Linked DNA regions of Bombyx mori. The protein of the gene in region 2 purifies or fractionates together with the protein of the main gene of each other region. This does not show direct contact. Links are inferred from orthologs where the notes say so. Each region holds a gene or a part of one and is shown on either strand. Other genes may lie near its edges. The genes, in order: YAP65-like protein and WW domain-binding protein 2.

Region 1 (4,628 bases), on a different chromosome or scaffold from region 2:
TATTGTTGATTATCATTCACGTCACATCGCTTCGGAATAGAAACCAGCTTAATTTACACTATGTTGTGTATTGTGCTTAAATTATGGATTGTATTCATCATTTCGGTCCATATAAATAATTATATGGCACCTACCTATATATCGCAGTACCGCGAGTTGACAACCCTTACAAATATCCCAGTTTAACCCTTAACCGTGTCAATTTACCCCGGACGCTGGGTAAACTGGGACGGCCATTATTTTACCCATTATTTCTTTAAAATGAATAATTAAAATAATGTAACGGTTTTTATCACCTAGATACGTTCAAGACTCAACTTATTTCTTTGGTTGAGCAGTGACTATTTAATTGGAACTATTTTAAAATTCAATCTGAAGGTCGATTTTGTCCCTATTTACCCCATTGTACGGTACATGGCTGATGTCAAGACTAACATCATGGGAATATCGTTTTCCCCCGTAGGTACAATTCGCACGTACGTAAACTATCTAAATACAGAAAGTCCAGTTATGACAAGATTTATTTGAGTGTTTACATTGAAGAAATGAACTTTTTCAGTTGTTTAAAAGTATGACTAATCAATACCATAAACGTTGCCTTGTAACTTCCTTGAATCTACTCAACCAAATTCAAGGAAATTAATAATTTTAGTTGAAAAATGCTCCACAAATCTTATTCTTAGGTCACTTCGATCATCAATAGTACTAGTTACTATTGTTGATTGAAGTTAGGTCACCATCAAATTCAAGTCAATCCAAGTCAATATAGTTATTAAAAAATTAGGTATGTAAGAATACTGATTTCGAGTATTCTTACTATTCTTCTTGGAATAAAAAATTACCAAGGCATCTAGGTAAAATAAATAAATAAACGATTTTAGATTTAGGCCTAATTAGCTACCGTGTATACTTTGATTGTATACACGTCCGAGTATATTATGTTTGTATTAAGCAGTAAACGATACTAGCTTTATGGTGTTGCATTTTCTGTATCAAATAGGTATTATTGCTCACAAAAAATATTCTTTTGTGAATGCAATACAGGTCGTGGTATAAATATATGTAGATAGGTTATTTTAAATTTATAACAAAATTTGAAATTGAAATGAAAGTAAAAAAAAAACAAATTAAATTGTTTAATTTACAGGTTTACACGTTTCAGATATACCTAATTAAGTAATTATTATTTAAGTAGCAGTATTTCACACAATGCATCAATTTTTAAAGTTTTCATTTCAAAAATTTGGAGTTGGACTTAATGTATAGGTACAGTAAGTTTGTATATGCATAAAAAACGATAAACTATTTACTAAATAATTTCCAAATACCTATACAAACAATAGCAGTGTGTCTAGTCATAAACCAATCATTGGGAGCCAATACCTGACGAAAAGCTTCATCAGAAGATTTTTTTTTTATAAATTTAAGGAATAGATAAGGTTATGAGGAAGATACTTACTTATAATCAATAGGTACATAAAATTTATGAATAAAGCGCGTTGTATTCAAATTTTAAATCCGAGCGCAGGTAAAGAGATAGTAAGTAGGTAACGGAGTGGAGGGGCGTAGTCCGCGTCGCGTAGTTCTCGAAGACCGGTCCATGCCCGATGCTTCAAACGCTGTGCTGTTTGTGCGGGTGGTGTGGCGGGTGCGCGTGGGCAGGGAGATTCCGCGGTGCGGGCGGGGCGAGAATCAGTTGCGCGGCGAGCGCTATATTGTAAGAACGTTAGGTGGTACCGCGCCAGCTCGTCGCGTGCTAGTGTTGTGTCACAGCGGTGGGCCAGGTCGGTTTCGAGATTTCTTCGTTCCGACGTAAATAATGGCTCTCAACTCGGACGGTGAACAGAAATCGAACCTGGTCCTCCGCGTGGACCAGGATTCAGACTCTGTATTACAATCGTTGTTCGACACAGTGCTCAAGCCGGACTCAAAGCGACCGCTACAGGTGCCTCTTCGTATGCGACAGCTTCCCAAGTCATTCTTTAACCCGCCGTCGACCGGTTCCAAGTCGCCATCAGTGTCTCACTCGCGAGAAAACTCGGCTGATTCGGCATTCGGATCATCGTCTGCAACTGGCACCTCTACAGTTTCCCATTCACGGGCACATTCGTCACCAGCAAGCTTGCAACAAACTTACACCGCAGGCCAACAAAGTCAACAACCACCGTTGCATCATCAACACACGAAACAAAGATCTTATGATGTTGGTACACATATTCCAGACGATCTTGGACCCTTACCAGCAGGCTGGGAGCAAGCTCGTACTCCAGAAGGACAAATATATTATTTGAAGTAAGTACTGCATGAAATCGTAATAACCAATGTAATAAAATCTATTCATCGAAATATGCGGATTCCTAATTATGGTAAATTGTTAAATTAATGTTACTTTAATTATTATGAATGTGATTTTTTTAGCCATCGACAAGTTTCCTGTAAGTGGTAAAATATATTAATAGTTTGTACGGTGTACGAATATTTTGATAATATTAAATGTCTTATAAATTTTATAAGAATACGGGGAATTTAAGATTTATGTATATATGTACCTCGCTATGATCCCAACATATTTTCCGCCAGCTTTCCCACTCCAAAAGTGAGTATAAAATTACAATATATAATAAGATTTGTAATTAAGTTACTTGGTACTTATTTTTGTAGAACAAGTGAGATAGATTTTAACCTATACTTCTACTAGTCTTTGAAAATAAATTTTAAGTTAAAATTTAAAATAATTTAATAACTTTTTAAAAGTAACATTTTACATAACTTAAATACTAATATGTAAAGTAAAGTTTAAACTTATAAATAAGACATAATGGATGATTTAAAAAGATTCATGTGTAGATCTAAACATTGTCGTCATTCATTATCTTATCAGGATAAATGTACCTGCCGTCAGTTGGTACAGATAAGAATTATTGTGATAAGGTGAAAATGGTTCAAAAGAACAAGTGATCGTGCTTTGTACATGAGTGCGTTTATTATGATGTTCATACAATTATGAATCAATTTATTAGTGTACAGAAATAATACAGTAAAAAACAGTATAATAATGAGGACATCGAATATACTTTGGTCATAATACATGCCTGGATACAACATTTACATAAAAATACCAATACATATAGAAAAACAATATTTCCACTTGAATTTGGAACATTTGGTCTAGTGTTATGTTGAAAATTACTTAAGGGTATTGTTATAGTCTCATTTTAGCGTCAACAATAAAATTGAGTGTAATTATAACGAGAACTGTTATTGTGACAGCACTATACAAAGTAGGTTTGGAACTAAACGCATTTTATCCTGTCCACTTGGTTGGTATTGATCGAATTTTCGTGTACTATCGATAGCCCGAATGGTAGGTACAATGAAGCGTCCTTTGTGATAGCAAAAGTCTAATCTTTCATGTAGTCTTCGTGACTATTCGTTATCTGTATTAGAGAATCTGAAGAACTTCTATCCTGTGAATATAGCACTTAGAATCAGGTTTAGCTACCTTATTAACAGGAAATGACGAAAAATAAAAAAATGCAATTATTATCTATTTTTATATTCGGCAAATTTTTAACAAGCAGAATGACCGAGCTTGTATGGTGTAAGATCTCCGATCCAATCAATTATTACATACCTTTACTGAATTTGACAGGGAATTAGCTTAATAGCCAATAGGACAACTATTTAAAATTTCGATTCATATGAAGAGAAAGTCGGTTCTATCTCTAAATATTAGCTAGCTCATGAAACTGACTAGCGTGGCTAAAGTCCTAACTTCTTGTTAGAGCAATAAACTGGCCAGCATCTGATTTATATCATAATTCGTTCGGTTACAATCACTTTTAGAAGATCTCCCTCAATCATAAAAAAAGAAGATATAATATACTCCAAATGCTGCTTCAGTCTAAATATTATTAAACCTCTGAAATTCCACAAAGGGAAATGAAGCATTTCTGATGGAAAAAGTGCGTGTTTGAATCGATAACTGGTTTTCAATATTAAACTAGTGTCTTAAAGCTAACATGGAATACAAGAAATACCTACTGTTAAATTAATTTTTAAAGTCAACAGACTGTTATCCTGTTAACAAATCTCTTATGTAAAAAACAAAACAATTGCCAAAAATGCGTTAATTCTAATGAAAATAAAGAGTTAAAACGTCAAGTATCCACGTCTTGTACATAAAAGAATAGTGAAATACATTATACTATTTTTGACGCGAATGGTGAATGAAGTATATAGTTGAAATTGCTTCATTGAACAGACGTCGGTGTTAATGCACAAAGCCAGACAAGTGAATTTGAAATAATTGTTATCGATAATCGGTAATGGCTGAGCTGTAGTCTGGCGCCTTAGCCATTATATTCTTGTAATGTTTTTGCTGGTCTTGATGAATAACCAAATCGACGTCTTGGTAATTGAATTTTATCAGGGAGAAAATTGTCGTGCACAATCAAATAATTATCAAAAATATATTTTTTCCCTACCTCACTACTGGTAGCCCAATAGGCTATTCCAGCTATTCACGGTCTGGTAGGTGAGCTCATGAGCCCAACCTGAGAAAGCTTGCTAACACTGGCCCTAGCAAAAGCAGCTATTCGCCGAATCTACCATTGGATCAGAACCGC
Region 2 (4,598 bases):
TTAAGCTAATATGTATTATATGTTAAGAAATGTACTGAATGACGTACAGAATAAGGTGGCACCCATCCATAATATCCTTGTGGAGGAGGTGCATATGCTGGTGGTGGTGCGGCTTGCCACGGTCCAGTCGGTGGGGTATAAGGAGGTGGCGAAGCACCAGCTGCCATATGACGAGAAGCTAAAAAAAATTATATTTTATTTATTATATATTGCTAAACATAATTTGATATCATATCAAGGATTGCTTTATATAGAAGAAATTGCTCATATGTAGAATCAATAGATAATTAAGTCTTTTTTAATGAATTCTAACAAATCTTATTACTTTTATACACTTTATTGTTTATTTTTTTCTTGCCCATGTAGGCAGACGAGCATACGGCCTACCTGATAGTGAATAAGCAGAGTATTATATACACTTGACATTGGCGAAATCTAAAATGAAACGCCATAAACCTAAGAGATAGATAGATAGAATGGTTAGCGTCGCTCATGGATTTCAGCAATGCCAGGGGCAGAGCCAAACCGCTGTCTACTATAAAATTTTTTGGTATTGTAGCTATAATACAATATTAAAAATTGAGGTAAGGGGCCTTTCAATAACTTTTAGTGATATAGCATGGAAGGTAAGCTCTTGCTTCAATAACAACAACCCAACATCATTTCAAGGTTGTGATGTAAACATACTCTTCAGTAGTCTTCAATCGAATTCAGTAACTGATATAGACTTGTCGCATTCAATTATGATTAGGTAGGCATTACTTTTACTCACCAAGATGAGCAGCTTTTAACATGGCTTGTCCATACTCAATAGCACCTCCTGATTTGAAGGTAAGCTTGAATTTGACCTCACCAATAAAGTTGCCATTAGGTTGGGCACGAACTTTACCTTTTATACAGTTGGCAGAGAACATAGGTTGTTCCACAGTTACCTATAAAACAATATCAATTCACATCGTCATAATCATCAACATTGCCCGAAATACTGCTGAAGACAGGCTTCTATTAAGTCTCCAGCTGTAGGGAACACAGATTCCACTTATTCACACTATTCCCCCTGGTGCATAATATTGCAACAAGCTTTTATATAATATAAATTTTATGTTATTACTATGGACTCATTTGCAGTGAATTTGCAATTTAAAATGGGTTCATAACAATCAAATATTAGCTATTTATCTATATAATTATTTATTAATAGTACTGATTTCTTTTTATTGGCTCAGTTCATGTCAATGAATATATTTAATAACTTTTTAGCCAAGACAGACAAGAGACAGATTTCTGAAAAACCAAACTGCATTCAGCAGTAGTTTATTTAGTCATCATATCCTATGTTGTTCTTCATCTAACAAATAAATTACTTACATCTTGCAATGCAATAAAAGGAAAACTGAATGATCTCATGGCATCTGTATTCTTCTTTGAATTGTAAATCATTCTATGAGTAGTGAGGTACATCCGTCCCTCCTTGATCCCCTTAAACTCTGGTGTATCATTCCCATAGAATTCAACTGACACATTGTCAGAAAACAAGATGATGCTGAAATAGTAAAGTAAATAAATAAAAAAATATCAATATAATGATAATCATTCTTTATCATCTTCTAGATAAAATTGTCAATATTTCATATGCCACTAAAGATAATATCTAGTGTTATATTAATCTGAAGTATCCATTGAATCAACCCTTTTTTCACCAAGAGGCCAGTCGGCCTTATTTGTACAAACAAGAAAGTTTATTGAAAAGTATTTTTTGCAAAATAGTTTCAAAAACGACACATGAGTCATCTATTATCAAAGGTGGCAATCTGTGCATTTGGACAAAAAAATGTTATTGATATGTCAATACAGATTGATTTGAATATAATCGTCTCCTTCAAAGAATATGGTTCAAAACCTGCATTAAATAAAGGTTAATACTTAACCTGTTATTTATCTAGGATGTCGTTCAGAAGAGTTTTGTAACTGCCAATGGAATACAAAGTCAATAATTCGTTTTTCTGATTTACCAATAATTGTCCAAAAGTCACATTGCCGCCTTTGATAATAGTCGACTCACATCAAGAAAATTAAACTTTTCTTTGTTTGTTTGTTTTTTTTGTCATTTAGAAGGCACACTCGCTTGTGAAAATGGTAGTAATGACCAATTTAATTTTTTCTTATATTATAGTTATAAAAACTTAACAGTTACTTACTTATATTGCAATTTTGGAGTCTTTTGAGATTATTAAAAAATTTGGTTAATGAACACAAACAAAAGAACTTTATGGAAGGGTTGGGACAAAATTAACAGATCATGATCTCATATATTGGGACAGAGACAGTGCATAATTAGTTGACTAATAATTTCTAAGCAAGTATGACATATTATAATGTTCCACATCAACGTTTTTACAAAGGTGGAATCTCTATTAACAAGAATATACTATCTAAATATACGTATTTCATCTGGGCATGATGAATTCTGAATTAAACAGACAAGACATGTTACCTCCGTAACTGGAGCCACGCATAAACAGCTTATATGCTAGTAGTTATTAATTTTTTTCATATTTTTCATTATACCATTATTATTATTTTTATAATAATAATTAATGATGTGGCGGCATAGTCTAATATAACTATGAAACATTTGTTTATACTTTAATACCTACAAAGTATTTCTTCGATTAAAGAATGGTACAGTTAAGCGTAGAACATTCTGAAAATATGAAAACAAGATGACTCACCATTCCCCTGCGTGTATCAAAACTCCGTGATCGGCGTGAGCGGTATTTAAAGACATAATGCAATTATTGTGCTGATTATATATAACATTTAACCACTAAGGTTCAAAAAACTTAATTTGAATCGAATCCTGTGTCGAGTGTCTTTATTACGTTATTTACGATCGTAATCAATCGTAATCACCAAATTGTATTAAGCATACATTAAGTGTATAATCTATGTTCAGAGGGACTCTGTTAGACATGCGTAGTTCCGGACCTAAATAGTTCCTGGAACTATGTCCTCATATGGAACTATATCATTCAATCCGAGTTGTCAAAATTAACATGTTCAGACAGTTCCATTTCCATTCCAAGTGTACTGTTATGCAGGAACTACGAACGCGTTGAACATGACGGACATGCGGACATGATTAGAGCATAGGTACCGCGCGGCGCGGAGGCGTGGCGCGGCGAGTCCACCCGAACGAGTCTCGAACCGACACGAGTCCACGTAAAGAGATAAGGCGACATATGGCACGAATACGAGGGAGTGAGATGGAGCGAGTGCATGAAACTGCGTGTGGAGCTCTTTCATATTACATTTTTATTAATATTGAAGTTATGCTCTACGACCTACGTGTTACAGTCGATAGTTGAATAAATTAAAATGTTTTGCTATGGATTTTGACCTTGACCATGCATCATTCCTACGAGCACTTAACCTTAAGTGTTTGTAGACCATTTTTTAGAAAATCATAATTCAAAATTAGAGAATTTTAAAACATTCACCACTTTCGCTATTCGGTATCTCGGTTATGGGAAAAAGGTTGTAAGGCTACAACGAGCTCAATTTAAGTTGTATATCAGAATAACGTGGTATTTTAATTAACAACTGATAGGTTATAGTTTCCGGTGCATCGTACAATACATTGAAAAATAATGAAAGTAGTAGAGTAGTTGAAATTATGACAAAGTAATTAGAGTACATTAATAAATTATGCAACCAGCTGTAACAATGAACCTTAAACTAAAAACCTTACAAAATAATAATTACAATAATAATTACCATAAGCGGCAATCTATTTTTATATAGTGCTTTTAAAAAATTGTATTTTTAATACCTTTTTTGAAAAATATTGTGTAATAAATAATAACTTAATACGTGATTCGCTACACTACAAACAGCTACTAGACTTAACATGTCCGCGGCACTAAACAGCTTCAAACAGCTACTAGACTTAATATGTCCGCGGAACTAAACAGCTACAAACTACAAACAGCTACTAGCCTTAACATGTTCGTGGAACTAAACAGTTCCGCGAACATGTTTACTGGAACTAGTTCCGACACTCAAAAGAACGATGTCATGTTCAATCCAGTTCCGAACATGATTAGCGCACGTCTAGACTCTGTTAAACTTTTTTTTTAAGAGATTTTTATGACCTGGTAACTGAGACCTTTAAGTCATGTTTTATTTTTATTTATATTATTCATATTTTTATGAAAAATGATATTAAGGACTGAAATGAAATGAAGATGATTAATTTGAGACACTAATCAATTGGGATGAAATTAAATGAAATGAATTGAGATGATATAGGATGAATTAAAATCTCAGTAAAATTATGGTCATTTACTAAGATTTTTTCAGTGGACTTTTTGGAGGATCCCGAGAAGTTACGTCCAGCGGCTTTGTTTCATTTTCCCATATTTGTGTACTTTCACAGATACTAAACAGTTAATAAACCACCGTTATTACCTACGAATAAATAATAATTAATAATTAATAAAATAATTATTTTATTATATTTATTACTATATTTATTACTCGGAACAAATTTCAAAAAAAAAATGGCCCCACTTGAAACCAAAACGGCTTAAGAAACA

The links.
Region 1: the proteins of WW domain-binding protein 2 (region 2) and YAP65-like protein purify together in Homo sapiens (affinity purification with mass spectrometry; 7 studies listed by BioGRID and IntAct, with this or other methods). This does not show direct contact. The link is inferred for Bombyx mori from reciprocal best matches to the Homo sapiens genes WBP2 and YAP1.

Annotation. Positions count from the first base shown.
Region 1 is NC_085111.1:12,030,755-12,035,382, reverse strand, and holds the start of YAP65-like protein, read left to right. Parts: upstream 1-1,819; coding exon 1,820-2,292; intron 2,293-4,628. UniProt on the Homo sapiens protein: Transcriptional regulator with dual roles as a coactivator and corepressor. Critical downstream regulatory target in the Hippo signaling pathway, crucial for organ size control and tumor suppression by restricting proliferation and promoting apoptosis.
Region 2 is NC_085117.1:14,735,232-14,739,829, forward strand, and holds the start of WW domain-binding protein 2, read right to left. Parts: upstream 2,969-4,598; 5' UTR 2,789-2,968; coding exon 2,733-2,788; intron 1,544-2,732; coding exon 1,369-1,543; intron 933-1,368; coding exon 773-932; intron 179-772; coding exon 48-178; intron 1-47. UniProt on the Homo sapiens protein: Acts as a transcriptional coactivator of estrogen and progesterone receptors (ESR1 and PGR) upon hormone activation. In presence of estrogen, binds to ESR1-responsive promoters. Synergizes with YAP1 to enhance PGR activity.